Linked DNA regions of Kluyveromyces lactis. The protein of the gene in region 5 binds, or shares a complex with, the protein of the main gene of each other region. Links are inferred from orthologs where the notes say so. Each region holds a gene or a part of one and is shown on either strand. Other genes may lie near its edges. The genes, in order: MRP13, RSM28, MRP10, VAR1, RSM26, RSM19 and RSM25.

Region 1 (4,469 bases), on a different chromosome or scaffold from region 5:
ATCAATTCTTTTACAGAGGCAATCGATTGTTGATTTGTAAATTGTGAAGTCATGGTATTTGGAATGACGGATGATATTCCTGGGACAAATGAAGACGATTCATCAAGGGACAAGGAATTTAGCATTTGATGGGCTTCAAAATCTTCTGAATGAGCCAAACCTGCCAAATTAGTATTGCTTCCAGAAAGGTTTGAACTCAAAGGAGATGCAGACATTGGTTGGGAAACCGCAACCGCGGGTGTAGTAGCAAGTAAAGGCAATACTAACCCATTAGCAGTAATCCTTGAGGTACCTGTAGAAGTGATAGCACTCGAAACTGCAAGTAAAGAAGCTCTTCTTTCTTCAGCAGTCTCTAGATGACCAAATAGAGTCGACTTCTTGGTATCATGTTTGACCGGGTCGGCTGCTTTATTCTTTTTTGCAGCTAAGAGATCTCTTTGTTGCTGCTTCTTTTCACGCTTAGCAGCAGCTTGCTGCTGCTGTTTTTCAATAGAGATACCACTAGCTTGCTTACTGGCTGCTCTCTTTGCAGCCTTCTCCTTCTTTTTCAGTTCCTTCAACTCTTTATTAGATAAAGGTTTTTCTCCTTCTTGTGCATTTGCCGTCTTTTCAGTATTAGTTTCTTTCCCTGAAGCCTCCTTAGCTCCTCCTGTCATTATTGGTGATTTGATACCTCAAAGTATACCGTTATTTGCCAATAGATTTCCGTTGGATCACAGGAACTGCGAGATCATCGATTGGTATTTATGTCAGCTTTTGAATAATTTCACCAAAATTGAAATTCTTAAAAAGAATGATGGAAAACTCGTTGACGGTGATTTCCTTGCAGATCGAACAAACTCAGTGCCCGAGTTGGCTAGCGGGAGTGACATGGTACCAGGCGCTAATTGACGAACATTTACTCAATTTGCGATGAATCCGTGACGGCACATCAATAATTATATAATAGAAGTATATTGTGTGAGTTTCTTTATGAATTATGGTCATTTTGTTAATGTTTTTTGAATTTCTAGTAATATTCTTAACTGACGTTGATTCTTATATATATATACATGAACGGTTCTGGGAAATATTGGTTACGGATAAGTCTATCCTTTATTTCGTTTCTTCTGCTTGTGCATCTGCATGAGCTTCTTCTGTCGTTTCAGATTCAGTAGCCTTTTGAGTTAACAGCTGTTTGTATTGGGATACGTATTTGTCGTAAATGTCAGCAACCGAGTTTTGCGCTAAAACGGCTTGATAGTTTTCAACAAACTGTTGCAGCTTAGCTTCAGTTGAGCCGAAGTCTAATGCTGTTCTGCTCAACAAATACTGGGTGGTGTTCTTTGTCAAGAAAGTCCTTAATTGATTTTGGCTTGCAGTGCTAACATCGATCGATGGCAAGTTAATTTCAATATTTCTAGCGAAATTAGGTAATTTCACCTCAACGTTCTGTTGTCTACCCAAAGCTTGAACAATTTCCTTTGTTAAACCAGTTGTATCTTCTCTTTTGGTAACAGTCGATGATAACTTCCTTAGGCCTCTCTCTACCATGCCGGAATCTTGAACGTTTTGGAACGCATTTCTATGCAATTGACACATCAATACAGTATTATACCATACATCTACGTTATAGGCTTCTAATTGCTTTGCTTTCACCAATAATGGCTGTATTTGGTACAGAACATTCAAAACTGCTCCTAAAGCACCAAACTTGAAAGTGGAAGTTAACAACATGTTTTGTAGATGCTGGGGAATCAAATAACTCCAGAACTCTTTCCTTCTAGGTGTGATATTCTTCCAATCTCTAACCATGTTTTCCAACTCTTCAGCTGACGATGCGTTCAATATGACGCTATTGAGAACTGATGCACTTGGTCTTAACACTGATGGTCTAGGTTGAATAGGAAGTTTAGTTTCTGGATCTTTCAAATCCATGGCCAACAAACGGTTAGCATTCTTTTTGCGGTAGATGTATGGTCTTAGAGTCTGTGGTGTCTTGACAAATTGTAAGAAGTTGTCAAAGACCGCACGAGACTCTACACCAGTTGAAACCGATCTTGTGAAAAACCGAGAGAACATTCGCTGCTTTGACTGTTATATGAGGATTAAAATCAGACCTTTGTTCCTACCGCTGGCTTTTTCAACCAAATCAGAGTATTAATTGTGTTACCTCTGCCAATAACCGATGAGTTATCCCAATGATTGCAGCTGATGAAGCGTGTTTTTCTACTGTGATGTGGTGATTCAATCTTCAAGCTTTCCTCTGGCTAGTTTCCGCTCTACATAGAAATGTTGAAAACATGAAATTTTTCAACACGTACAAGATGATATCAAAAACCATATTAAAAACCTGTCTATGCATAAAGACATTGGGGCACTTATGCTTAATTGCAATCATCGATAAGCTGTTCTAAGAAACACTCTTCGCTAATTCCAGCTCCGAAAAGACTAAATAACCAGACCAAACATGAACTCTGTACTGAAAATGAATACTGAGTTGGGATATCAAGAGTATCTCGAGAAAATTACTCTTGAAGCCAATGGTGTAACCAGCGATGAGACGACGTTACACAGCAAGGTGGCAGACATATTTCGAGAAGAAATTGAAGTAAACGGCTGTTTGAGGGAAAGTTTCAATGTTTATGAGGATGTGGATGGCAATATTGAAAAATGGAGAAGTCAAATATGGCTTGAGAGACCAGAAATGTCCGCAGAAGTCCGATACGCATATTTGAAGCACCAGGAATTGTGTCTCGAAAGACTGATATCCAAAACGCTGCCGAAACAGCTTATTGTACAAGAAGAAATGTTGAAGTCAGTTACAGAACAGATCAGAGGTGTGCTAGAAACTCAGAAACAACAGTTGGAACAATTATCTCAATACAGAACTAACATGGAAGAATCTCATAGACAGGAAATTGATTCATTGAATAACCGCTGGCGGTTGACGTTGAATGACAATTTAGAAAAGGCAACAATATAGATATTCTAATATTTGCAGTAAAAATAATAATTTATCTATATATTACGATATAATAATATTCTTGCTTTGATAAAACGATAGATAGGACACTTTTTCAGTTTAAATGGGTTGTTTATTTGTCCAAAACTTCAGCATCGTATCTTTGCTTGAACCAAGCGATGGTGTCTTCCTTGGAAGTCTTGTGAGAGTTACCGATTTTAGATTGACATCTCTTTCTTCTGGTGACTCTGGCACCTGGTCTACCCATGACAATGTAGAAATCCATACCGTAAATACCGATACCTGGGTCGTACTTGATACCCAAATCGATGTGTTCTTGGATACCGAAACCGAAGTTACCGGTAGCAGAGAAGTTTCTGTTTCTCAATTGGTATTCCTTGACCTTCAAACCTCTTTCCAAGATTTCTTCAGCCTTTGGACCACGAACAGTAACGTGGACAGCAATCTTTTCGTTTCTTCTGATACCGAAAGTTCTGACAGTGTATCTAGCCTTGGATTGAACTGGAGTTTGACCAGACAATTGTTCCAAAACCTTGGAAGCTCTGGTCAATCTGTCACCAGATTCACCAACAGAAATATTCAAGACCAATTTCTCGATCTTCAATTCACGCATAGGGTTTTGAGCTTTAGCAGACATCTTGGACTATGGGGTTGTGGGTTGACGTGTACAGCGGAATAAAACCTACAAATAATAAAAGAAATAGACCACTAATACGAGAATACTTTTAAATATGTAATAGATGTACCTAAACGTATAGTGAATCCAATGTTGAAAAACCTCAATGAAAAAAAATCCTACATCAAACCTGTAACTTAGTCCCTAGGTCAAGCTGTTCTTCCATCCATTGGGAATTATCATGAATTTTTCACTAGGCGAAAGCTCCAAACAAAAAAAAAGAGTTGCGTTGTCGCCCAAAGATCGCAGTAGCAGAACCAAATGATCACCAAGGACGGGAATTATATTGTCGTATTAGATGATGTCTCTCATCGCCCTTACCGCACAGCGAGTTATGAGTCTCACGGACTAAATAACCCTATATAGTAATAATATCATGTACACACTTTTAATTTAACCATCCGTACACCATGAATTTGGAATTCTGGATACTTTAGAGAATGTACGGATGATGTATCGTTACCCTACACATTTGACAGTCCCATACAATCGTTGATATCAAACCCGAATTACAACCTTCATTCTGAGATTATATGAACTTAAACAATTAGAGCCTTGAGTGGCAAAAGGGTACAGTTAAAGAAGAAGAAAGAAGTCATAATATACAATCAGGATTTAGCATCTACTTGAATCAACTTTGGACTAAATTTGTCATAAATTGAAACGAGGAAGATTTATCCAATTTATATACGCATCCTATTACAATGCAAGCCATAGCTGACGATTTCAGTCGTTCCAGTGTTTTCACTGAATTGAACGATGAGCAGACTTTGAGAGAAAATTTTGTGCTGGGAGACTCTCAATTCAAACAATTAGCACCAAGCTTAT
Region 2 (4,403 bases), on a different chromosome or scaffold from region 5:
AAAGAACATTCAGAAACTTTAATAGCCATATATGAAAAGACAAAAGAAGTGACCCCATTGCTCGAAATACTAAGACAAACAGATCAAAAAAGGCTCATAAATTACCTGAATACTCATTTCCAAGAGCTACCCGATACTTACTCTAAAGAAATGCTGACTGATGATATTTCATCAGCTTTGAAAGATTATAACGATGACACTGTAAGCGACGTTTTACAATTAATAAACAATTTAAACTTAGATGTGAAAAGACTCATCTCATCCATCGAAGACCCTGATACAAAGGTTCTCTTGCTTGAAAAACTGGGTGCGAGTTCCACCCAAGATTTGACATTTCTTTACGAGTACTATAAAGCTAAACTTACTGTTTTGAACAGCAAGCTAATAGAAAGTTCCAATTTACCAATTACGGAGTACATTACCAACATGACATATAACAAGTCTCCTTTCAAAGAGTATTTGAAAAATAAGCTGGGTGAGAAAAAGGAATATGAGGGTTGCTTCGATGTAGGGACCAAGCTTCTGAAAATAGAAAAGGCTTTAAATATAAAAGAAGGTTCTATTATTGATGATATCGATGCTTCTTTCGTTCTACGAATCATGATCACAGATATCAGTGTATTAAAGGAAAAGATCGGGTTCGAAAAACTACTTGATATATATTTATCACGGAATGATTTTGCTACGGTGGAGTCCTTGTTACAAGCCAACGATAAGGTAGTGCTGAAAGTTATCGATCACTATCTAAGTCTCAACAATACTAGGGTCATTAGTCAATTCCTTAACAAGAATACGTGTTGTATAAACGACTCTGGGCTACTTATAGAAATTTTGGAAAAAATACCCCCAACCATTCAAATATCAGTGTTATCGGGTTTCCTATTTCCGTTACTCAGACGAAAAGACGAATCAACATATAATCTACAGATTAAGAAAGGAATTTTAAGGCATCGTACTCAGAATATAAACAATATCGAACGTTGTTTAGAACTGTGAAATAGTGTGATATATCATTAAGTGCATTGTGAAAATATATACATGAAAAATAGAGGTTAATCTTGTCTATAGGCGATCTGGCTTGTAATCAAGCTGTCAATTCAGAGACTGGTGCCAAACCGGAACAGACTTTTTGCAAAAGTTCTTTTTCAGTTGAAGCCAAGTTGCTTTGTTCTAAACTCTTTCTCACAATTTCGCTATTTTGCAGAAGTTGCTCTCTTTTGTCTTCTGCTTTTGTTAGTTTGGCAAAGTCCTTCTTTGTGTATGGCTTGAGAATGTGGAAACTACCCTTGACGGATTGCTCAAGTTTTTCTAGATCCGGAGAAATTTGGATGTTTTTTGTCAACGGTTCCACCTGCAATTTCAAAATGGAAGCTGGCACGTATTCACCAAAGTTGTCTTTGTTCGCTGTCATACGCTTACTGACGTTCTTTCCATTAATTGTGACACCATCATTCAATGAACGATGCACAGGGAAGTCGGCGTCTTTTAGTGTTGAAACTGCATATCTGAATGTCCTTGCACTGAAAGTTGGAGCCAGAGCAGGTCTGTATCTTAGCAACGATAACGGTGTTGGATCTTGTGGAACATATACAGCCGAGTTGTGAATATTTTGCACAACGTTTTCCGATCCCAAATTACTGGAAATTTTCAACCCTGGAACGGTTTTACGAGTTTTCCTTTCATCGCTTCTACGATTCTGTCTGGTACCCAAATTTTGAACTTTGCCTGAAATCTCACTATACTCATTAGTACCGGTAATCTTTGGTGTCTGTCTTTTAGCCGTACCTGTTTGTACTACCGGGCCATTGGTTCCTCTAGTATCCGTTCTTTGTGTTCTTTCTCTAAAATTTTTACCACCACGGTCTTGACCATTACGGACTTGTCTATTATCCCTGGGTTTATTTCCTCCGGATCTGTCATCAAATCTTGCTGTTTGTCTCTTATCTTCCCTCCCAGCTGACCTCACCTTTCTGTCAGATCTTGGTTTACGTGGTTCTCTTGCCTTGATAGGAACTTCCTTCACTCTTTGCAAAACTGATGCTAAAAAGTCCGGAGAGACAGAGCTATAAGCCCTTTTAGAGAATGTAGAAGCTAGCATTATTAAGTAAATATATTAATGCTAGTCACACACTTAAACAGATCACAACTTGATATAGCGTTACCTGGTTTATTACAACCCTATACCTAAATATCTCCGTGATACCATAAGAACTAATCAAGTTCATCATACTGAAACGAGTTTCGCACTCTCATAGGTTTTATGAAAGATCAAAAATTTTCAAGGCGTTCAAAATGATAAAAACACACGTGATCTAAATTTCTTATGATGACAGAAGGAATACAACATTCGGTGGGTTCTGACGTTTTGATATGAACTTAATACAACGGCGAGTACATACAGCGATATGCCTCGTCTAAAAATTGATGTTGTCAGTGGAAAGTCTAAAACAAGTCAATTAATTATTAAGAGGTGATATATATATGTATAGATAAAGCGATCAAGTCGTTTCAGATAATCTCGATTGGAACTTTCATCTCTGTAGCCAACTTTTTTAGCTGTTGAAGTTGTTCACTAGATGCTGCAGATCTGCCTTTCCGTACTTGGATGAAATCAATAAATTTCAACGGTATGTCCTGAGAAGTTAGGTAAACATTATTTAATGATTTCACAAGGTTGAGGCTGTCTAGCATTTCCTGGATCCTTTTGATATGGATGTAAACGTTACTAGAACTTCTCATTCCACTGATGACATCCGTATCTTTTCCAGTAATGCCGGGAGACAAATGAACATGGTTCCGTGACATTTTTTTGATGAAACCTGAGTGAAGAATTGAAATGCAGTTTGATACGTTGGTGCCATGAACCAATTTACTTGATAGTTGTTCTATGTTGGTAATTGGTTTTAAAACGTGTTGCGATGGAGCAATTTGCTTCAATGTATGTCCTTGTGTTGCACAGACGTACATTATCCCTGTATTCGGATCAGTTTTGATATGAAATCGTTGCTTGTCATTACTAGCAACAATATGCTGTATTTCTGTTGACGTTGCTTTCAAGCTTTTGAGTCTGTTATGCTGCAGTATTCTATCCAATGCAATGTAACCATCAGAATCTATAGGCAAGTTTTCCTTCACAGCACCATGTCTCAGCAAATAAGCCAATGCTTTCGAAATTTTCACACTTCTGTCCTTAGGTTCCTGCGAATGCGAGGTGTTCATAATGGTTCAGTTAAATCGAGCTTAGCACTTTCTGTTTTCCCCAATAGCTTTGACCATGTCGTTCTCTATCGGTCATACATAACTAATGGAATGAAATATATATGACAACGAAAAAATAATTGGATGGAACCTAATATGAGTCAGATGACACACACGAACGTATATATAGATGTAAACTTAGGAATTACAATGTGCACTGTAGGCACCGTACGTAAACGCCTTGAAGTTGCATAGTAAAAATGATAAAATAGAGTTTGATTAAATAATAGAGACCGTTGACCAACATAATTCGTTATGTACATGATAAAGTTCCCATATTTGGTTCACGAAACCTGACGGGGAAGGAAAAGAAAAAGAAGATGTAAATTAATGATTGTGTATAAGCAAAATACTGTAACAGAATGCGCCATATCAGGGACTGCAAAACGCATCTGGGGTCAAAGACACCAGAGTTAGTAGTCGAGTAATAGAGTCCCTTCAGAAAGGACGAAATCAGGGGAAAGACAGGTCATCAATCTGCCTCATAATTTGCTATTCTGTTCCAGCTGCCTATTTGTACAAGCCAGCACCACCACCACAACAACCGCCACCTTGGGCCGCCAGTGTCTTTTTAGTAGTCTTGATAGTTTCGTTGTCACCCAATTCAGTGTCCTTATGGATGTTCAAGTGATATTTGTCATCCTTAGTCCTCTTACCTTGAACGACATTTTGTCTTAGAAACTGTGCAACATCGTTCATAAGCTTGATCTGTTGATCAGGTGGAAGCTCTGGATTTGGTGGATTGACCATGCTTTCTCTCATCTGTTGTCTTGCTGCCATTAGCATGCGCAAGTCTCCTTTAAAAGCAACGCGGGCGGCTCTCAACCCGTTTCTGTAAGCTCCGAGCGCTTGAGACATCTCGTGTTTAATATATAAGGATCTAGGTGACTTAGTTTGAAGCTTTACTATACGGTTTTCTTTGTCTTATGAGACTCTTCTCTGTCTAGTTATCACAGTTGATATTCGCCATTCTCATTTATATATATATTTTTTTTTGTTCATATTGAAGAAAAAAGAAAACTGCATAATATAGTAAACTGTCGCCAGAGAATGTTACAAACGACGGAACCAACAATCAGCCGAGTGTAGCAACATCTGCGGTACTTGATGGATTGTCCCATTAAGGTTACTTTCTAATGCTTGCG
Region 3 (3,884 bases), about 1.1 Mb from region 5:
GTAGCTGATGGTGAATACATAAAGTCACGAGCGGTATCATTCGGATGGTAAACGGAATGGTTTTGTTTTGTACCTCTTTTCAATCTTCTTGGCTTATGTGATGAAAATCGTTCAAAGGCAATTCGAGGTTTTATAAACCTTCTTGACACAACTACAATATACTTTGATTCAATTTACCGTAAATGCAGAAGTCTAGGACTTCGCTAAAGATCAGATAGTGTGAACCGATAATACAGATACGTTTTCTGCAATGTTGCAAGACGTTGCCCTGAACTGTTACAACATCGTTCAGTCGTATTTATCGATCGATGCCGAATCTGCCGTAGCCACAACCGGAGATGTAATAAAACAGACTCAAGAATCGATACAGCTGAGTAGACGGTACCTTCTGCAGGATATATTCACTAGATGGGATCCGTTCAATGGCGAGATATCATTTTCATACAACGGTGGCAAGGATTGTCAAGTGTTGCTAATCATATATCTGGGATGTCTATGGGAATTTTTCCTCATGTCAATACAGGGATCACAGTACGATCTCCAGTTCCACATGTTCCCGTTGCAGCAACTACCCACTGTATACATTGATCAAGAGGATACCTTTCTTACGGCACAAGATTTCTTACAACGGAGCGTGGAGCGATATCACTTATCGTTATACGAATCAGCGAAGGATAAACAGGTCGATATGCCAAGTGCCTTCAAGTCGTTCTTATCGGTACATCCAGAGACTCAGGCAATAGTAATCGGCATTAGACACACAGATCCATTTGGGGAGACGTTGCAACCAATTCAAAAGACGGACCCCAGTTGGCCCCAGTTCTACAGGTTGCAACCGTTGCTACATTGGAATCTCTCACAGATATGGAGTTTCCTATTGTATTCGGGAGAAGAAGTATGCGGATTATATGAGATGGGATTCACTTCATTGGGCAGTGTAAACAACACATTGAGAAATCCATACCTACGGATACCAGAACCTATAGGCTCCATGACAAAGGCCGAGACTGAACATAGCGATTTCCAATGGGAAATTGAAAACAATTACAGAGGAGATTCTAACATGCATTGTAACGAAATTAACGAGAATGACCTTAATACCATCAAACAGCATGATTCATCTGAGTTCCATCCGGGATGGTATCTAACGAAAGACGAGTGGGAAAGAGCTGGCAGACTCGCCAGAAAAGTTTGAGATGAATCCACTCACAAATAGCTACAAAAATCTCTATCATATTTAATAAATCGTGAATTCCTTGATTTTAGATGATATATGTAATATTAGAAAATGGTATTATGTACAAGTGATAACGAAGGGGGAGAAAGTCTGTCTGCTTCTTTCTAATCATGAGATTTTCCACCAACTCTATCGTACAATCTAGCAGCATGATAGTTGATATTACTCTTCTGGACTTTTTGGTTCTTACCTAAGGCATTTTCCGCGGTACATGCCTTCAAATCTTGGGCCAATGTCTCACATGCACCGTACATGTGTCCGTTAGAAGACCAGCATTGTAATAGATTGGACATCAATACCAAGCATCTGTTAGCCTCTTGTTGAATAATTGGCTTTTTCACCTTAAGTCTGGGAAGAGGTGGTAATTTATAAAGAGGAGTCTTACTGGACATGCTTTAATATATGAACACTTGATATCTTGGACGTACCCTTCGCAACACGACCTTACAAGACCTCTAGAACGGACTACGCGACTACATTTATGATATTTTCCATCATATAAACGATATCATTCTTTATGATCTTAACAAAATTTTTGAGACTTTCGCCAATGTTGGATCTAAGTATGCGGTGTACGGGTTAAATTTTTCACTTGGGCCTGCCCTGGAAATGATGAGCTGCCGCGACAGAGGGAGAGAGAGCATATGGGTATAAAATAAGAGCTATAGACTATACTGTTGCTTAATTGGCAAGTACGTATACCGCTGATGTTCAGTATTTGGAAAGATCAGGCATGCTTAGGATTTCACGATCCTTGTTCTTACTGAACTCTTGCAATTGTTTTAGAATATTGGAGTTCTTCCATCTGTCAGGAAGAGGTGTAATGGAATAGTTTTCTGTGGCCCAGTAGTAGATATCCCAATCTAGTTCGTTCAACAACTGGTCGTACTCTTCTAGTTGTTCTGGGGTCATTTCCTTTAAATACTTAGCAGCAAAACGTGACAAAAGTAAGTCTGTTTCCAGAATACCTCTCTTTCTGGACTGATAAATTAATCTAGCACGCTTCTTGTCTAGAGACTCGCCGGTTCTCTTGATAGGTGGGATTCTGATTCTCACCGTGACATCGTCATCTTGGCCCTCAGCACCGTTGCTGTTGCCCTTGTTCAACAAGTAAGCATTTGCGTGAAGAGAACGGCATTGCTTTGTAATCGAGTTAACTCCAGATTTCAACACTGATGGTTTGTTGAAGACAGTTCTTAGCATTATTAGATGACAGTGGTCGTTTGTTGACTGGACAGGTAGGGATAGTATAGAGGAGGGTATACTAGATATATGTAATACAAATTAGGACCTCTTCCTAACCTGGGGTAACGGAGGAGAGAGATCAACCAATTCAAATTGTGATTCAATTAATATTATATATAGCAAGACGGGTAAAAAGGTGCCGTAATCGGTTCGGTCACGTGTACATGGACCTAGAACTCCACAGCTTTGCAACGTCGCTATAGGAGGAGACCTTATACTTGGCTCACACTGGGTAAGGTCAGTGAGAGACAGGTAGCCTTTGTGACAGGTGTGTCTAGTACGCTGGGAAGATTACTTCACCAGTTAGGCACGTGATCTGTTCATCGTCGACGTTGTAAGCTCTAGCAATGACAGAGTATTTGCCAGGTGGCACCTCGCTAGGGATCTCCACGATCTTGTTCAACTCGTAGACACCTTCCTCGATTGGACATTTCAATCCGTCGATGTCGTTCTCCTCCAATTGTTCACACAAATCGTAGGTTTGTGAGATTAACTTGATGTAACCTAATCTAACTTCGATGTCGATGTATGCACCTTCTTCGATAGTGGTTTGTAGGACACCTGCAGCAGCTATAGTCAAATTCTCACCTCTTTGTGGTGGGTTGGGGACCAAGTTTACTTGAGTAACATCAAGCGATTGAGATTGGTCAACATCACATTGCAATAAAGGAGAGTCACCAGGGATCGGTTTGTTCGCTGATGGTGGTTCTGGGAAACTTAATCCGAATAAAGAAGCTGCATTAGCGTACGATGCAGCAGCGCATAATAAGTAACTGGTTACAACAGAAAAACGCATCTTGGTGGTTCAATCAGGGTGTTTTAGAGATAAGGGGAGTTTGCTTTAGCTTTTCTTTTTTTTGTTTATGAAGGTTTCAGGACTTGATATAATAACGAGAGGCCTTAGTGAGTCCTTGTAGATATCTTAAAGATCTTGAATTGGTCTATGAGCAGGTATATAACTTGTAAAGGCTGAACTGTTGCTCTTGCTTTATCTTTCTTTCCCTTTCCTTTTTGTTGTTTCCCATGCGTGATGTAAACAAAATGTTTCGAATTCCAACAAACCTTTAAAATTGTGACTTTCTCATCTCGAAGTCTCAGATAAGGTCTAAAGGATAAGGGGTGAACAACGAGCGGCTGAAATACGATTATCAGACTGAGAACTTCGTTATATTTACGGCTGAGAAATACTTATGTTGCTATCTTAGATAGATATATATATATATAGGTTTTTTTTTTGTTTTCAAATGTACATATATTATATCAAGTTGTTTGATAAGTCTTCTGCCAACGATTCCTTGTCGGATTTCACTAGAGCCTTAATTGCAATACCCTTACTTGTCTTGATCATCTTGATGGAAAGCAGGGCTTTAGTGTTGTCTAAGATACATTTTCCTGAAAGTTT
Region 4 (4,765 bases), on a different chromosome or scaffold from region 5:
AGGAATAACATATGATTCAAATTCTACTGTTTCACCATTATCATTAATGAAATCTGAGTATTCATATTTTCAATATCATTGTAAACCAATAGCTTTAATAGTCATTGCTGGAGAAATAACTTCATCACATAAATATAATAAAATGAATGAAGGGAAAGCAATAATTAATAAAATTACAGCAGGGAAAATTGTTCAAATAATTTCAATAGTTTGACCATGTTTAATATATTTATAAGCAATAGGATTTTTACTATAAGTTCTTACAATTGTAAATAATAATCATGATACTAATCCTAAAATAATAAATAAATAGAACATAATATTATCATGTAATTCTAAAATACCTTCTTGATTAGGTGTAGCTGAATCTTGGAAATACATACCATAAGGTGTAGGTACATCATTCATAATAATTGAATTTAATAAATAAAACATATTTATAATTTTTTTTAATCTATATATATTCTATATATTAGATATTACATTGATTAATATATTATTCTCCCGCGAACTCATCCAACTAATGTTTTGATGAGTTCGCAATTAGGAAAAAAACTTATTAATAATAAATTATTATAAATAATTATAATAATATTAAATAAGTATATTGATATATTATTATTAAATTTTTATATTTTAATTGATATATTTAATATATATTAGAGATACGAGATTTGAACTCATGTCCTTCGCGTGTAAAACGAATGCTCTGCCAATTAAGCTAATCTCTATTATTATTATTATAATAATATTATACTTACTTATATCTATATAATAATATTATATAATAATTATTATAAATTCCCCCAATTGCGTATTCCTCCCCACCCCCCTTAAAGGGGGTGGGGTTTATTAATTATATTAACTCCGGGGACTCTTCCCAGGTATACACCTTATGGGAAGGAGTCCCCGGGAGAAGAGTATATAAAATTATTTATACACCCCGCGGCTTATTCCCTGGAATTCCAGGGAATAAGTCCGCGGGAAAAGTATTATAAATAAATTAATAAATAAATAAATAAATAAATAAATAAATTATTAATACTAATAATAAGTATTATACCCCGCGGGAAAATGTATATTATATATTTATTTATATATAAAATTAATAATATAAAATTAATTTTTATTAGTATTTAGAGGTCCTTAAGGAAATAGTAAGGAGAACGCGGGAAAGATATATATTAATTTATTATATATTATAAAATATTTATATTTTTACCCCCCCCTTCATATAATATGAAGGGGGGATTATATGTATATATTAATTTATTATATATTATATAATTATATAATTATAATATAAAGAAAGAAGCCCCACGCGGCATTACCCTAGGGTAATGCCGCGTGGGGGAAGAATATTGATTATTTATTTATTATTATTAATTAATAAATTAAATAGTATTTAATTTAACTTTAATATTATATTTACCATTTTTATTAACATCAGAAATATTAGTAATATTATGGTTAACAGGGATATAATTTAATTTATAATTATTAACCATTTGATTACCTCAAATATATTTATAGTTTTGGAATGTACCATTTAAAATATTCATTGTATTAGATCTAGAAATAGATTTATTATTAGATAATCTACCTTTTAATTGAATTGATCATCCTACTAAATATTTAAACATTAAAATATTATTAGGGATAGTATTAATATTATTATTTTCATAAATAATATTATATAATTTCCCCGCGGCTCCTCCCCTGGGATTACCAGGAGAGGAGTCCGCGGGGTTATTATTATTATTATTATTAATTGATTTAATAATATTATTATATTTATTAAACATAATATTATTAATATTATTAATATATGTTTGACTAATTAATTTATCATTTAATTTAGGCATATTATTCATTAAATTTTTAATTCTATTCATTGATAAACTTCTTTTAGAAGATGAATTCATAATTTTTAATGATTTAGCTAAAATATCACTATTCATATAATTATATTTTAATTGAATAGGTTCAAATGATACATCTTTATTATAATATAATGATAAAATATTACTAATACTATTAATGTTATTATTTAATAAATTAATTAATTTACTATTAATATTAAATTTATAATTACTATAAATATTATTAATTAAATTATTGTTATTATTAATATTTTTATTAATATTTTTATATGATAAATAATAGAAAAATTTAATATTAACTTTATTAATACTATGTTCAAAGATAGGTTTAGAAATAATTAATTTATAAATTTTATTATTAATATTTAATACTAATAATTTTGTTAATAATTTAGTTACTAATCTATCATAAATAGTATTATTAATTTCTTCAGTTTTATTAAATTTATAAATTTGAGATGATCAAGAATTAATATTATTTAAATGTTGTAATTTTACACCTTTATTACTTAATTCATTTAAATAATCTCAAATATAAGTTTTATTTAAAGATCTATTTAATCTTTTATTATTTAATAATAATAATAATTCTTTTATAGAATTTAAATTGTTTATATTATTAATATTTTTAATAATATTTAAATTTGTTGTATGTTTATTCATTGTATTTATATTTATTTATATATATTGATCGTATAATATATATATATAAAACTATATATATATTATTATTAAATTATTAAAAAATTTAACATGTTTATTATATTTACTACTTATAAATATAAAATAAAATATTTATTATATATTTTATAAATTATGTATATTCCGCGATATCATCATATGATGATATCGCGGGAAAGAGATAAATTCCCGCGGATCCTCTACTGGTAATACCAGTAGAGGATCCGCGGGGTAAGATAATATATTCTATTTATAATTATTATTAAAGAGATAATCTATTTTATTTCCCCCCCCCCCAATCTCATATTATGAGATTGGGGGGAATCGATATATAAACCCCGGACGCCATCGTCCGACCGTAGGGTCGGACGAGGCGTCCGGGGAATTGTATTTATTTATATAGATCTATTATATATAATAATATAATTATTAATCGCCAAATACCCCTATTATAGGGGTATTTGGCGATACTAGATATATATTTAATATTACTAATAATATACTATATATAAATAGTTTTCATAATTAACTTTTCCCCATTGCGGACTCCTCCCTTCGGGGGGGGGGGAGTCCGCAATGGGGTTTATAAGTAAGTATAATATAATAATAATTATATTAAAATATAAATATTATCATATATATATATATTATATATATATATTAAGTAATATTATTTCTATAAATTAAATTAACATTTAAATTTATAAATGTATAGATTATAAAAATATTTATGACACATTTAGAAAGAAGTAGACATCAACAATTTCCCTTTCATTTAGTAGCTCCATCACCATGACCAATTGTAGTATCATTTGCATTAATGTCATTAGCATTATCATTAGCTTTAACTATGCATGGATATATTGGACATATGTATTTAATTTATTTATCAATTTTAACAGTAACATTAAGTGCTACATTATGATTTAGAGATATTATTGCTGAAGCAACATATTTAGGAGATCATACAATTGCTGTTAGAAAAGGTATTAATTTAGGTTTCTTATTATTCGTAGTATCAGAAATTTTAATTTTCGCTGCATTATTCTGAGCTTATTTCCATTCAGCTATGAGCCCTAATATTGAATTAGGTGGTGTATGACCTCCAGTTGGTATTCAAGCTGTACAACCTACAGAATTACCTTTATTAAATACTATTATCTTATTATCTTCAGGTGCTACTATTACATATAGTCATCATGGATTAGTAGGTGGTAATAGAAAAAATGCATTATCAGGATTATTAATTACATTCTGATTAATTGTTATTTTTGTTACTTGTCAATATATCGAATATACTAATGCTACTTTCACAATTACTGATGGTGTATATGGATCAGTATTCTATGCTGGTACAGGATTACATTTCTTACATATGGTTATGTTAGCAGCAATGTTAGGTATTAATTATTGAAGATTAAGAAACTATCATTTAACAGCTACTCATCATGTAGGTTATGAAACAACAGTGTTGTACTGCCATATTTTAGATATCATTTGATTATTCTTATATATTGTATTCTACTGATGAGGTGTATAACTCATCAGTACAATATATAAGAATATCTTTAAACAATAATATTCTTACCTTTTTTATATTAAATATATAAATAAATATATAATATAATATTAATATAATACTATTATAAGTATTGCCCGCGGCAATCCTAAATAGGATTGCCGGGGAATTAGAACTACCCGTGGCACCCCCCCAAGTATATCCTAAAAAGCCCCCCGTCAAATATATTATAATGTGTCCTAGATATATTTATTTATTATGACGACTATTAATAATATGAAGTACAAGCCCAATGTCATCAGGGGGGAGGGGGGGGATTTTTTTTTTTTTTTAAAAAAATAGTTCGTAGCGTACTATCATTTTTTTTTTTTTTGGGGGGGGGGGGGAGGGTGAAAAAAAAAAAAAACCCCCCCCCTCCTCTTATTATCCCTCATATCCGAAGTGGTACTTAACTCTAAGAATAAGACACTAGTTTTTTATTTATAATCGTTATATATCTTTTTCCTCGCTCTCTTTTTGTTAATATTGATTATTCTTTTCTTTTTATTTTATTATTGTTATTAAATTTTATTTTCCTATATATATTTATTCATTAACTATTCTTTATATTTCATTATCTCCCTTTAGACTATCTTACACAGATGCTACCTAATTATTTATTCTGTAATATTTTCTCTTTATT
Region 5 (4,319 bases):
AGAAATCAGAACACTTCAAGAAAGAAAGAAAAACAAAAGATTAGCGATAAGCGGCTTTTAGCAGTCACAGAGTTGATTATCCATCGCCAGGTGCCTATTTCCTACTAGGAATTTTATTTAACAGAATGTACTAAACCTAACATTCCCGGCCAGTGAATATTATGATGGTTATTGCAAATACGAAAAAATAAGAACTCCTCATAGGGGGCTCGAACCCCTGACATTTCGGTTCCTTGCGAGCAATGCTTAAAAGCCGAACGCTCTACCAACTGAGCTAACAAGGACGAGTTCTCAAGTTCCTCAGAGTTTTGGAAGTATTTTATACTTGATGTTGAAGTTTTAGTTGAATACCGTTTTCCGTACCTTATCCGCTCTTGCCTATATCAACCAGAGATACGCTAATAATGAGAGAGGATTGTGAGCTATTCGCAAACGGTTATATTGCATTTGTGACTATGTACATGTAATTAAGACCCATATTTTAAAGAGAGCCAACAGTCTATTTATGATTGGAAGTACTGGTATACTCCTATTGTGTGGAGAACAATCTGTTGTTAACCGCAGACCAGTTCAAGTTATCTAAACACTTCCTTACGTAAGTGGATCTGCCCTTAATACCGTAATCATTCAAGTATGAATGGTCCCACAAACTGATCGCAATCAAAGGCATTGTCCAATCTTTAACGTCTGCATTTGCGGCAAGTAGATCTCTCATCGTTACAAACTGTTCCATTTCTTCTAAGGATAGAGCACTGTTCAAATCGAAAGATTGGTTTCTAGCAAAGTAGTATGGAGTACCATTATTTTGAACTGTTAGGATGTGAAGTTCCTTGGCATCATTTTCCACAAGGAATAGCCATCCTTGACCTAACACATCTTCTTCTGCATGTCTAACCATTTCATCCTTAAAAGCATCCCAAGTCATTGAATATTGTGATTCTAGCTTCTGTAGAAACTCACGAGATGGATGTGTAACTTGTTCCATAGGCAATATGTTTTCTATGAACAAATGGTTATTGTGCAAAGCACTAGCCAAATTGAAAATGTTTGTTTGGTATGATTTCTTCGCAGTGTGCAGTACTAAATGGAATGGCAAGTAGGATTCTGCGGCAGTTCCTGCAGATGCCAGTGTTAGCTTATCGCACAAAAGCTGCTGCTGGTCAACCCAGCAAGTTTTGAATGTGTTAGCGCTCATAACATGAGGGATGCCTGAATCCAAAAGTTGTGAAATACCAGGTATCTTTGGAACTGTGTGTATTCCTCTGAACAGTTGACGCCCAAACATTGACATTAAATATTTTTAGTTAGTTGCCTCAATTATATCAATCGTTCCGAAACTCTAGGAAGAATGTAAATAGGATGCATTGAGCAAGAAATAGTAGACTTTCTAGTTATGCATTTTAGATTCATGAATTGATACAAGTCGAAATGATTTCAATTTTTCCTGTTCGGCAATGTTGAATGCTAAGAAAAATTTTAAGATTTGAAATGTTACCCGGAACTCATTATCTTCTCTAGCTTAATGAACTAGACTAATAATCAATAAAGTCCAAATAAGATACACCCGTAGGATATAATCCGACAAGAGGTAGACAAGGAGATTCGTGGGAAGAACCTTCGAGTTTTTAATTTCAATTCTTTCAATGATTAAATTCAAGTATTATTACTCCCTCTTATCTTTTCTTATTTTATATTTTTGAATAACATAATCACAGCAAAAACCTGGTAAATAAAACAAACATTATTGAGCTGAGTTGTCTACGGACTTGATGACATTTTTTAGTTACACCTAAAGGTGAATTATGCGGATTTAAAAGGCTAGTTATACATAGTCTTGAAAGGCTTGAAGAACCAGGAGAAACTGTGGACGCGTTTGGTGATTAGTTGATAGCATTCTAATGTCATTTGGTGTACCTTTGTCTCAACTGATACAAGCGCGTGCAGATCATGTACGAAGTGGCATTGAGAGTTTAGACGATTCATTGAATGACGGATTCCAACCACAGAGTATCTACGAGGTTTACGGACCTCCAGGAATTGGCAAGACAAAGTTCGCGGTACAATTAGTGAACAATAATCAGAATAGGATGAAATGTCTGTGGATTGACACGTTCCAGCAAGTACCACTGAAGCTTATAGAGCAAGGAGATGAGGACGAAGTCCATTTCAAAGGGTGCCAATTCGCAAGAGTGAAGAAATTTGCTCAACTGTGGTACATGTTTCAGAATTTAAAAGAGACGTACGGGCTCATAATAATCGATGGTTTATCTCAGCTTTTGGTAGAGTATCTCCATATGTACGAGAAGAACAGTGGATATTCTAACCATCGACAGACCTTGCACGATTTCAAGGTGAAAAGTTTGATACAATTGCTTGTCACCATAACTAAATACGCCACTTCAAACAATACGGTGGTGGTATTACTTAATGACGCTATGAACACAGGTTACCAGGACTATTCAGACGATGCAGTTGTCTCATACAACGATCCCAGCAACGGAACCCACTCAGATGGTTCCTTTAGCAATTTCCTCGTGAAATCTCAACGGAAACGTCACGTGCAAGTGTTGAAGAGTGGATTAGTAGCAAATGCAGCCGTTGGAAGTAAAGATGCCCGTTGGGAGGTGTTTCTTCGATGCAGGATCGGTGTGTTCTGGAATTGGGATGCAGAACAAAAGCAGAATCCTAACTCCCAGAAAAGAATCATCCCCGAGGTATCACGGCAGTTTGTTGTACAACATCAACAGCCAGTGGGCTCGAAGAATAAACTGGTTTGGGTTAAGACTAATGAATCTGGGAACTTTTATAGCTGTCACACAACTATAGTCGCAGAAAACCCAACAACTGCTGTCACTGACAATCTTCTTCCTACGAACACTTCCTCAAGTGCGACAGCTGCTGCTGCTGCAGTAGCCGCAGCACCGGTGCTTCCCCCAAACAAGAGAAGACGGGTTTTATACACGGAGCCAAGTCCGAGCCGTATGCTATTAGATGTTCAAAGTCACAGTCAGCCCGTAACACCAAACTCTTCGCAATCAATCCAGTTTACACCACGAATCGTTCATTCAGACAACATTGTGGCAACTCATGGAACTGAAGGCACTGACAACGACGCTATCATATATGATAGTGAAGGATAGAACGGAACACATTACAAACAGGAAGCCGACCTAATTTTGTCACTTTTAAGTGAATAAAATATGCAACTAAGAATTGCGCCCTTCCTCCTTAGATACGGTCACGAGTGGTGCCCAATATATCTCACATTCGTCATCGGACGCTTTTCCAGGAATCTCCACGGAAACCAAAAGAGAGATCATGGAAATTACTAATGATGTGGTGTATGGGTGCATGTGTCTTTTTTTTCCATTTTCTCCTTCGAGAGATCCCCAAAGGGCATCAAAATAGATCTGACGTGATCTATGCCAACTTTAGTAATCGACATGGGACGGTTTTCATTGGCCGGTTTTAAGAGCTCTTGAACCTTGAATCCACTAACTTTTCTATTATTGGAATTCAAATAGGAAAAATTTGTTTGTTTTGCTTTTATTGTTACTGCTAGGTTTACAGATATGAATTTAACAAGCTAATCTTGTTTTTTACATGTTTCAGCCGTTCCAACCTGTCATAAAGTGTCAATGAAGGTTCTGAGGTGGAGCAATCTGTGATCGGCCCACTTAGCTCCATTGTATAAGCAACATATGTCCTTGTAGGTGTTGTTTGTAAAATAGCCGGCTTCCATTTTAATATGGCCAAACCGAATGCGGGTATGGAATTACGCAGAAACAGGAAGAAATGACTGGATAATTAGATTTTGCTTATTGTTTGGGAAGAGCCATTTGAGGGATGACGGCTTCTATTTTGAGGGTTTCTGCTGTATCTGCGTACAACTCCATTTTTTGTTTACTATTCTCGATTTTACTTAATTGGACTAAAGTGGATATTTGTTGTGACAAAGATTGTTTCTATTATTGTCATGTTCATCTTTTTTTTTTGGTATGACAGTGCTGCAATGGAGAGGGAAAAAATTGCGTAGATCTTGTGACTAAAATAAATTGCCAGGTGAAGAAAGCAAGGGGATAAGAATAGCGATATGAGTGGGCCGACTGAAAAGTATATAAGGCATTGGTTTGTTTCAAGAGTTTTAGAATAATATATCCCTTCTTCCACTTTTTTTTCCTGTTGAATAATCTGTATTGTTATAGCTGTAACATCAGGATTCACTATTGTATCTTCTAGATAAGCAAGAAAACTTACTATCGCTAACACATCGCGTTCATCAATAAAGAAATACTGCAAAAAATGAGATTTTTGACCGC
Region 6 (3,844 bases), on a different chromosome or scaffold from region 5:
TATACAAAGGTAGAAAGGAGTACTATGAGAGGTATATCAAAAAATGTAACACTAAAGTGGAGCAAGTCCTACTCACGGACGGTGTAGCGCCAAAAAATGGGGCAAGAATGATCTTTGACAAATGGGGAAACATTATTGACAAGACAAGCTTGTTGAGTGAATACGAACGTTTACGTTTGTACATATCCTACCTCAATTATGACTTAAATGAAATATGTGGATTTTCTTCGGATTTAGAACCAGAAGAAGCAATGAAAATATTCACTGGTGGCTCGACTGCTTCAAGCCTTTTTTTAACCTCTTATAATGAAGAAGAATGTTACGATGAATCATTTTTCATTGCACCACAGGGCTTACTAAAACTGGCTGTAACTCAAATCGGTGACACTAAAATTATACTTTGTGACAAGAATGGTATTGCTCATTCTTTGGCTAAAGTTCATCATCCTTCATCAAGTAGAGAGTCCAGAAGACTTGGAGGTCAATTCCAAACTGACTCCTTCGGTGATACTAGATTTTTGAACAATTTTGCAAATACACGATCCTTTGGCGATCGGATCGGAAAACGTGATGGTCTAACGTGCGAGCCGGACATTTATTCGTACCTCATTGGACCAACCAAAATGTTACCACATGCTGAAAGATCAAAATTGCAGTTCGGTGGTGATGAATGTTTCTTATGTTTAGTGACAGACGGAGTAACTGAATTGATGAGCGATCAAGAACTCTGTGATCTCATCACCTCCACAGTGAACAATAGAGGTTTGAAAACTGCTTCTCCACACTTCTGTGCTCAGGAAGTTTTACAATATGTTATGGCTATTAGCTCTAAACATTCTGATAATGCTACTTGCGTAATTCTGCGGTTACCGAACTGGGGAAATTGGCCTGTCATTGATCGCACTGGTGCGATTAGAGAGGAAAAGCTACTAAGTGGTGTATCCGGTGGAGAAAGATCTAGTGGTTGAAAAAAGTCCACAAACTTAATCATAAATTAAATTCAAAAGAAACCTCAAGTAAAGAGTGTATATTCTATTTTACTTCAATTATTATATATAGTACTCGTTATGATTAACATTTGCATCTATTTAACAATGAGAAACACCATTAACTCCCAATTAATCGAGAGCACTTGTTCAATAAATCATTTCTTAGTAATAGATACAGTTACGTATGGAGTACACGGTGGTACATGAACTTCCAGGTGTGATTTTATATACATGCTGCTGTCTGACTAACTTTGTGCTTTTCATAAATGTCAAATCATTTGTTCTTAGTTTGAGTATAACTGAATCTCTTTCTTGTTGGTACGAATTCTCCTAGCTTACTTCCTACCATATCTTCTGTCACTTCAAACGCGACATACTCCTTACCATTATGCACTTGGAATTTCAGTCCGACAAATTGAGGTAATATGGTGGCAGATCTGGCATTTGTTCTAATGGGCGTACCTTTGGCCAATGCTTCTTTTATTGGTAATGGGACTATATTTGGACCTTTCCATACAGAACGTGATAGTAATCTCAATGACGGGAACATTTTATGACGTTATGAGTGTTATCGTAGACGCGAGATATTTGTCTAACTGCTGGAACCTTTGGCTGACTGATATCATGGTAGTGACTTAACTCTATTATATCTTGTCGTTATTTCAAGTTTTACAGATTGAAATTTTTTATGAATTCCGTTCTGAAATAAAATAATAGACGAATGGCGATGAGATGTAATATGATGCGATGAGCTTCAGGAATTTAGAAGGTCAGTAACAGCATAGCGACAGCATAACGATAGCATCCAGTCAATAACATGTTTGCTGCAAGGTTTGATCCTACTAAGGTGACTGAAAATGTACTAACAGCTGAAGTCACACAAATAAAAGAACCCACTGTGCCCCAAAAGAGGAAAAGAGATGCGGAAACTGATGATGAAGGCTCTGGTGAGGACGATGCTTCCAGCAGTGAGGATGATGCTTCCAGCAGTGAGGATGATTCCGATACAATTAGTGAGCAAGATGAAAACAAGGTTGCATCTGTTGCGCCTACAGAAACTTCTCAGCAATCAGTTGATGCAAAGCACAGTTCCGTATTAAATAGATTTCAACAGACTCTTTCCCTGCAAGGTGCGTTGAGCGCTTCAGACAAGGTCAGTAGTGACAACGATGTACACGATGAGGACGTATCCATGAAAGATGTTCACAGTCTTACCCCAATTCCTCAACCGGCCAAAGTGACCAATGAAGCCTTGAAGCTTCTAGATCCGTCTACATATAAATCCACTGCGTGGGATGCAGCAACCAAAATTCATTACGATAGTAAAATGGTTAAACAATTCGATAGCTACGAAGGTGAATTAGATGCACGTCTGCTTAAAAATATTACCTCCAATTTCTCATCTGAAACGTTCCCTATTCAGACCATTCTATTCGATAAAGTGCTCCCGCTTCTAAACTCATCTTTTAAAGCAAACAGAAAACTTTTCACAAGACGAGTTGGTGATATATTAGTAAACGCATCAACTGGTTCCGGTAAGACCTTAGCATATTCTGTCCCTTTGGTTCAAATTTTGAGATCTAGAACAGTGAATAAAGTTAGGGCAATAATTTTGGTTCCTACTAAAATTTTAATTCATCAAGTCTACGATTGTCTCTCTAAACTAAGTCAAGGGACCAGTCTCAATGTATCAATGTCGAAACTCGAGAACTCCTTGAAAGAAGAACACAACAAATTTTTGTATAACTCTCCAGACATTCTAATCATCACTCCGGGCAGACTGGTCGATCACTTGCAGATGGAATCATTTGACCTAAAAACTTTGAAGTTCTTAGTCCTTGATGAAGCAGACCGACTATTAAATCAGTCATTCCAAAATTGGAACCAAGTGCTTTTCCACCATTTGACAAACGATAAGCAGGATAAACGTCCAGGAAACGTAATCAAAATGGTCTTTTCTGCTACTTTGACTACGAATGCAGAAAAGTTGTACAATTTGTATCTCCACAACCCCAAGATCTTCCTCACAGATTCTGTTAAATTATATTCAATACCTAAGAAATTGCAAGAACTCAATGTCAATATTCCTACTGCTAAGAGTCTGTTCAAGCCACTACTCTTACTAAGAATAATACACGACATCAAGAGCAGTGCTTCGAGAAACGCTAAAATATTAGTGTTTGTGAAGAGTAACGAAGCTTCGATCAGATTAGAAAGCTTATTACATGCCATGTTAGGATCAGGAATAATTGAAGATGAGTATAATATGTTCCTTTCATCAATTCATTCGAACATCTCGAAGGGTAGTAGCAGAAAACTAATACAGGAATTTGCATCCTCAGAACAAAAGAAATCAGTTTTAATTTCAACGGACATAATGGCTAGAGGTATCGATATAAATGAAATTACTCATGTGATAAACTATGATCTACCGATCTCCTCTCAACAATATGTTCATCGTTGTGGTAGAACTGCAAGGGCTAATACTGAGGGTATAGCAATTAACCTTCTAGTTGGTAAGGGTGAACAGAAATTCTGGTCACAACATATTGACACTGACCTCAGTCGTGACATTGATGGTTATCAACCATCTGCTTACCTTGACGAAGAAAAGTTGTCTGAATTATTCTCTATTGAAGACACTTTGAAGGATACGTACAAGGGTTGTATCAAACAACTCCAAACCAGCAAAGAAGCAGACAGTAAATAGCATATTATCACTAAATAAGTAAAAAGATCATAGTAACTGTACCCCATTCTTGGGGCTCGTCTAAGTGATATTTGAGAAGGCACTAATGATCTTATACTTACTATCTATTTTGCCTCTTCTGATGAGTTGATCATGTGACATGTTA
Region 7 (4,513 bases), about 630 kb from region 5:
TAATTAATATCCCCGCATCCGAGACACCTTTACCGGCCCCATACGAGGGCCCTAATGCAATAGTCATTTCCGGAGTGTTCGATTCAAGCCAAATAGATAATATCGAACCTCTGGTGCATGATTTCTTGAAGTATACTTTAGTGAAAACACCTCAATATCGCTTCTTGAAAGACTTAAACTCAGTTTTGATTTTCCCAGAGAATTATTCGGGTATAACAAAAAACACTGCAAGTGATATGGAAAAAGTCATTCCGTTTATAAAGACAGCACTACAAGATCAAATGTTGGCTACAGGTGTGGAAATGTGTCAAGTTGATGAGAATTTGTCCCTAGTGTCTCAAGCATAAGAGAAAAAGCCGGCCAAAAAAGTACATATATAAAAAAACTGACGCACCTATAGTCTACAGACTTTTCATGCATAACACCTCAGCAGAAGTTTCATAGCCTTCATTTATTTATACACTATAGAGAGAACATATTCAATTGCAGATTCAGTACAATGTACATCGTATTGTAAATGGAATATATTGTCGTTGGATGTCCTTTTTTTTCACATCATGAAGAAGTTTAGTCTGTAAACTCTAAAAAAAGAGTGAAAAATACGACTATTCCGAGAAAACCTGTAGACAAATTCCATATTATGTAACAGTCGATGTCACTTTTAGAAGTGCTGACGAGAGATCGAAAAGAGCGAACAGTGTTGGAGACCTGTAAGGCATTCATTATGGGGGATGTGCCGTTTTCAAGTTGTTTTGAGGAACTAGTGCCAGCTAGGCCAATTGAGCATCTGGGCAAAATTGATATGTCTTTCAATGGAAAACTGCCGAGTCCTCTTATAATCAATGAAGATGGTGGTGAATCCGGATGCGGAGGTAAAGTGTGGATAGCAGGTGAACTGCTATGCGAATATATCCTTGAAAAATCCGACAAGGAACATTTGCTAAGTCATTTGTTTCCAGATGGGAATTGCAATAGCGTTTTGGAACTGGGTAGTGGTACAGGTCTAGTTGGGCTTTGTGTTGGTCTAATGGATCAAGCGAATGAATATTCAGATCGTGAAGTTTATATTTCTGACATTGATCAGCTGCTTGGTCTCATGGAATCTAATATTCAAGTCAACGGATTGGATGATAAGGTTCACGCCGAGGTGTTATGGTGGGGGAATCCCTTGCCGGATGTATTTGTCAAGAAACCGGTTGATTTAGTGCTAGCTGCGGACTGTGTGTACTTAGAAGCTGCTTTCCCATTATTGGAAAAAACACTGTTAGAATTAACTGATGGGGAGAATGTGCCAATTATTCTAATGGCATACAAGAAAAGGCGTAAAGCGGACAAACATTTCTTCCAAAAGATCAAGAAGAACTTTAAAATTGTAGAGATACGAGATTTTATTAACTTCGATAAATATTTGAAACAGAGAACTCATTTGTTTCAGCTTATGAGGGAGAAATAAAAAAATAGTAGTAGGGTGACAACTGACGTTTGTCAAATGCAAAGACACCCCATTTAGTTTGATCTTTTATGCTTTTTGTGATGCTCATGAAAGTACTTTCAATTCGTGAATTAACTATGAGTAACTTTATAGTTATAGTGACTTATATATACATGAAATTTTTATACAATAATGACAGTAAAACTCAGAGTTCTGACGGGAATAGTGTTCATTGGTTGTGTTTAATTGTGGAAGATCATAGTTGAATTTCCTCAACATCTTGATCAATAGGTTTTTGTTCTTCTTCGGTCTCGTTTGTCCAGGAAGCAGAAGGACTACTTGCTCTGGCAGCCATCAACTCAGCTTGCTGTAAGGCCTTTCTCTTCCATGTGTCAATGACCTTTTGTTCCTTAGCAATTCCGTATTCTATTGAAGTGGTATGGAAGACTGAACCGAACATTTCGGCTTCTTCTTGAGCAACTTGATCTTGAATTTCTTGTTGTATTCTTAGACGGTAGAACTCGAATCTAGCTTGATCATATGCATCAATGAGTTCTTTTTTCTCTCCTGATTTTAATAGGAAAAGCGTCCTTTGTACAACTGATTCGCCATCCAATGGCTTGCCTAGTTGTTGGATATGAGACCAGTCATATTCTTGAGTCTCTAGGGTATTCTCAACAAGAATCTTAGGTCTTGAAAGTTCCCATGGATGTTGCTGGAAGAACAATTTTCTCAATTTATCCTCGATATATACTAATTTTGGGGACTGATATAGCTTCGATGCACCATCTTTCTTTTCCAAAGAATTTGGTCTAGTTTTGTATAATCCTGAAGAATTGGCCTTCCAATTGCTGTAATCAGGTAGTGCAGTTCTAGATTTACCGTTCATAGGATGTGTCAGTTGTGGGGTTCTAGCAAACTTCTTTGTTGGTGGTACCTTCGCTATAACATTGTACCAAGCTGGAGTCTTCTTCAAAATACCAGACTTCAAATAGGCGGATGTACGTTCTAGTACATTAACGGCTTCTTGCTGAACCTTCATTTTATATCTGACGTTTATATGGCCCGTTTACTCTATACTATCTCAGTAAACTCGCAGGTTCAAGCAATCGATCCAATACTTGTTGTCCTGGAGCTGTTCATACAGCATATTTGTGAACTTTTCAACTTTTCACTATAATTTCATTTTGGATCGTCGATCAGATTTTTCAAATTTTTCTAAGTAGAAGCATTCAATTTTTAGATCACGTGAAGAGTAAACATTTTTCACCAAAATTAAAGATCGAAGAGCTAAGTGTATGGGGAGCGTAAGTTCCTTTATTCTTTTCAATACAGTGGAATGATAACTGATGAACCTTAGGTTTCATCTCGTTCCTGTTTTGAAAGGTTCAGAGTAGATATTTTCTTCGGCAGAATATTCACGGTCACTAGCTTTTCTGAAAAACATGTCTGCCCTATTCAATTTTAAATCATTGTTACAAGTTATACTATTGTTCATATGTTCGTGCACATATATTCATGCACAAAGACCATCGCTCCTTGATCGTTATAAGGACAGCGGTATACTAGGAGTATTTTGGAAGTTTGCGAGAATTGGGGAAAGAGCTAGTCCTTATGTGTCTTTAGCTTGCATTGCCATGGCAGTTTCGCAATTCAACAGTTGATAAACCCAAGGGAAAAGATAAAGATAAGTCACAATTGCTATAGGTGAAAGCTCTCATTAGCAAGTTTGACCGGCTCTGAGGTCTATAGAATTATATTTTAAGTATAAAATTAGTTTAATCTATTATCGGGCGGCTATTGGATTCGTTTGCGGGCTTGTCTCTTTGCATCAAATAATTAAGAATTAATATGTACTCTTTGAATCTGACTTTGAGTTTCAAAATTCTACAACAAACAAAGAAGTTGAAAAGTGCAACATATTTTAATACTCTAAGCTATTAGTAAAGGAGAACGATTGCGTAAGTTTTCGGTTTACTAATTATTTATGGCATATTTGATCCACTCTATTTAAACTCGTACACTTCGTTTTGGCCATGAGCCAATACTGCCGCGCGTTTAGATCCTACGACTCTCTCTAGAGAAAGACCGTCCATCTTACTATATATGCATCTGACAGTTGAAATGTTGATATCACAGTTGCCTAAAAATACGTTCTTACCAATATTGCGAACAACTTCAGAATAGAATTCAGGATTTCCCGGAGGCTTGTAGAAAATTACACTCTTGACGTTTTTTATTTCGTACCTTCTAAAGTGGTGCAATCTTTCTGTGTATAACAAGACCTTCACCTTTCCGTGTTGGAATCTTGCTCTATTGGATGTCAATTGTTTCTGGTTAGAGTACTCGTTGATTTCTCCGAATATGATTGTAGTTTTTTCTTTCAAATAGTTTCTAACACGGATGAAATCGGTATAATCAGGAATGTATAATAATATACCATCCTCGTACCCAGTAGATTTCACAATAGACGGAACGATGACACTCGTAAAAAATTTAAACCTGTAATCAGGTTCATCTAGAGCTGTCCCTCCTGCTAAATCAAATCTTTGGAATATTTGTCTAACCTTTAGTCCTAATTGACCAATGCTTGATTGTTCAGGTTTTATCTTCCTATGATTTTTCCATCTTCCAGCAAGATTACGACACTTCCCATTCAAGATTGAGTTGGCAAACGGTGATATGTATTTAGTGAAGACTATTGTTTGGCGGAAGAATTTTGCCTGTTCGTTAATATACCACATTCTGATTCGACTGAAATCTGCTTCCCGTTGCTGTTCCGGAATTTTATTGATATGCTGAAAAATTGTTGTCACATGCATGGCGTTTTGATATTCAATGGAATGCAATTGATCTATGATCATGACTTCAATGCTCGACAAGAAATCATCCTGTCTTTTCTTCTTATCAGTGTTTTCAAGAATTAATTGAATCCCTAACGGAGAGCATATAATGATATCGGACTGATAAAAGTTTGAGTATATCTTTAGGGATTTTCTAGTGAACTTGAGACCCAATACGAAGAAATCATTTGTGTTACCCTGGAAAATATGCTGAAAGGATTTAGGTTTTGAAGTAGGA

The links.
Region 1: RSM26 (region 5) and MRP13 share a complex: the UniProt entries of both Saccharomyces cerevisiae proteins name them as parts of the mitochondrial small ribosomal subunit. The link is inferred for Kluyveromyces lactis from reciprocal best matches to the Saccharomyces cerevisiae genes RSM26 and MRP13.
Region 2: RSM26 (region 5) and RSM28 share a complex: the UniProt entries of both Saccharomyces cerevisiae proteins name them as parts of the mitochondrial small ribosomal subunit. The link is inferred for Kluyveromyces lactis from reciprocal best matches to the Saccharomyces cerevisiae genes RSM26 and RSM28.
Region 3: RSM26 (region 5) and MRP10 share a complex: the UniProt entries of both Saccharomyces cerevisiae proteins name them as parts of the mitochondrial small ribosomal subunit. The link is inferred for Kluyveromyces lactis from reciprocal best matches to the Saccharomyces cerevisiae genes RSM26 and MRP10.
Region 4: RSM26 (region 5) and VAR1 share a complex: the UniProt entries of both Saccharomyces cerevisiae proteins name them as parts of the mitochondrial small ribosomal subunit. The link is inferred for Kluyveromyces lactis from reciprocal best matches to the Saccharomyces cerevisiae genes RSM26 and VAR1.
Region 6: RSM26 (region 5) and RSM19 share a complex: the UniProt entries of both Saccharomyces cerevisiae proteins name them as parts of the mitochondrial small ribosomal subunit. The link is inferred for Kluyveromyces lactis from reciprocal best matches to the Saccharomyces cerevisiae genes RSM26 and RSM19.
Region 7: RSM26 (region 5) and RSM25 share a complex: the UniProt entries of both Saccharomyces cerevisiae proteins name them as parts of the mitochondrial small ribosomal subunit. The link is inferred for Kluyveromyces lactis from reciprocal best matches to the Saccharomyces cerevisiae genes RSM26 and RSM25.

Annotation. Positions count from the first base shown.
Region 1 is NC_006042.1:771,312-775,780, reverse strand, and holds MRP13 (mitochondrial 37S ribosomal protein mS44 MRP13), read right to left. Parts: upstream 2,062-4,469; coding exon 1,096-2,061; downstream 1-1,095. Other genes in the region: GCD2 (translation initiation factor eIF2B subunit delta), read right to left, coding at 1-656; KLLA0_F08283g (uncharacterized protein), read left to right, coding at 2,450-2,965; RPL11A (60S ribosomal protein uL5), read right to left, coding at 3,078-3,602; PRE2 (proteasome core particle subunit beta 5), read left to right, coding at 4,346-4,469. UniProt on the Saccharomyces cerevisiae protein: Component of the mitochondrial ribosome (mitoribosome), a dedicated translation machinery responsible for the synthesis of mitochondrial genome-encoded proteins, including at least some of the essential transmembrane subunits of the mitochondrial respiratory chain.
Region 2 is NC_006039.1:1,052,935-1,057,337, forward strand, and holds RSM28 (mitochondrial 37S ribosomal protein mS46 RSM28), read right to left. Parts: upstream 2,099-4,403; coding exon 1,085-2,098; downstream 1-1,084. Other genes in the region: CORVET complex subunit VPS3, read left to right, coding at 1-996; TPT1 (tRNA 2'-phosphotransferase), read right to left, coding at 2,509-3,219; MZM1 (Mzm1p), read right to left, coding at 3,769-4,116. UniProt on the Saccharomyces cerevisiae protein: Component of the mitochondrial ribosome (mitoribosome), a dedicated translation machinery responsible for the synthesis of mitochondrial genome-encoded proteins, including at least some of the essential transmembrane subunits of the mitochondrial respiratory chain.
Region 3 is NC_006041.1:1,177,195-1,181,078, reverse strand, and holds MRP10 (mitochondrial 37S ribosomal protein mS37), read right to left. Parts: upstream 1,630-3,884; coding exon 1,342-1,629; downstream 1-1,341. Other genes in the region: FAD1 (FMN adenylyltransferase), read left to right, coding at 251-1,195; succinate dehydrogenase assembly factor SDH5, read right to left, coding at 1,949-2,440; NPC2 (sterol transporter), read right to left, coding at 2,757-3,278; SEC21 (coatomer subunit gamma), read right to left, coding at 3,738-3,884. UniProt on the Saccharomyces cerevisiae protein: Component of the mitochondrial ribosome (mitoribosome), a dedicated translation machinery responsible for the synthesis of mitochondrial genome-encoded proteins, including at least some of the essential transmembrane subunits of the mitochondrial respiratory chain.
Region 4 is NC_006077.1:35,245-40,009, forward strand, and holds VAR1 (ribosomal small subunit protein), read right to left. Parts: upstream 2,562-4,765; coding exon 1,395-2,561; downstream 1-1,394. Other genes in the region: COX2 (cytochrome c oxidase subunit 2), read right to left, coding at 1-462; COX3 (cytochrome c oxidase subunit 3), read left to right, coding at 3,295-4,104. UniProt on the Saccharomyces cerevisiae protein: Component of the mitochondrial ribosome (mitoribosome), a dedicated translation machinery responsible for the synthesis of mitochondrial genome-encoded proteins, including at least some of the essential transmembrane subunits of the mitochondrial respiratory chain.
Region 5 is NC_006041.1:116,784-121,102, reverse strand, and holds RSM26 (mitochondrial 37S ribosomal protein mS42), read right to left. Parts: upstream 1,292-4,319; coding exon 530-1,291; downstream 1-529. Other genes in the region: putative DNA-dependent ATPase RAD55, read left to right, coding at 1,899-3,140; SPI1 (Spi1p), read left to right, coding at 4,303-4,319. UniProt on the Saccharomyces cerevisiae protein: Component of the mitochondrial ribosome (mitoribosome), a dedicated translation machinery responsible for the synthesis of mitochondrial genome-encoded proteins, including at least some of the essential transmembrane subunits of the mitochondrial respiratory chain.
Region 6 is NC_006042.1:665,825-669,668, reverse strand, and holds RSM19 (mitochondrial 37S ribosomal protein uS19m), read right to left. Parts: upstream 1,540-3,844; coding exon 1,264-1,539; downstream 1-1,263. Other genes in the region: type 2C protein phosphatase PTC6, read left to right, coding at 1-968; putative ATP-dependent RNA helicase DBP6, read left to right, coding at 1,807-3,699. UniProt on the Saccharomyces cerevisiae protein: Component of the mitochondrial ribosome (mitoribosome), a dedicated translation machinery responsible for the synthesis of mitochondrial genome-encoded proteins, including at least some of the essential transmembrane subunits of the mitochondrial respiratory chain.
Region 7 is NC_006041.1:743,106-747,618, reverse strand, and holds RSM25 (mitochondrial 37S ribosomal protein mS23), read right to left. Parts: upstream 2,475-4,513; coding exon 1,689-2,474; downstream 1-1,688. Other genes in the region: FAP1 (Fap1p), read left to right, coding at 1-347; EFM6 (putative protein-lysine N-methyltransferase), read left to right, coding at 653-1,453; KSH1 (Ksh1p), read left to right, coding at 2,878-3,096; rRNA-binding ribosome biosynthesis protein UTP25, read right to left, coding at 3,439-4,513. UniProt on the Saccharomyces cerevisiae protein: Component of the mitochondrial ribosome (mitoribosome), a dedicated translation machinery responsible for the synthesis of mitochondrial genome-encoded proteins, including at least some of the essential transmembrane subunits of the mitochondrial respiratory chain.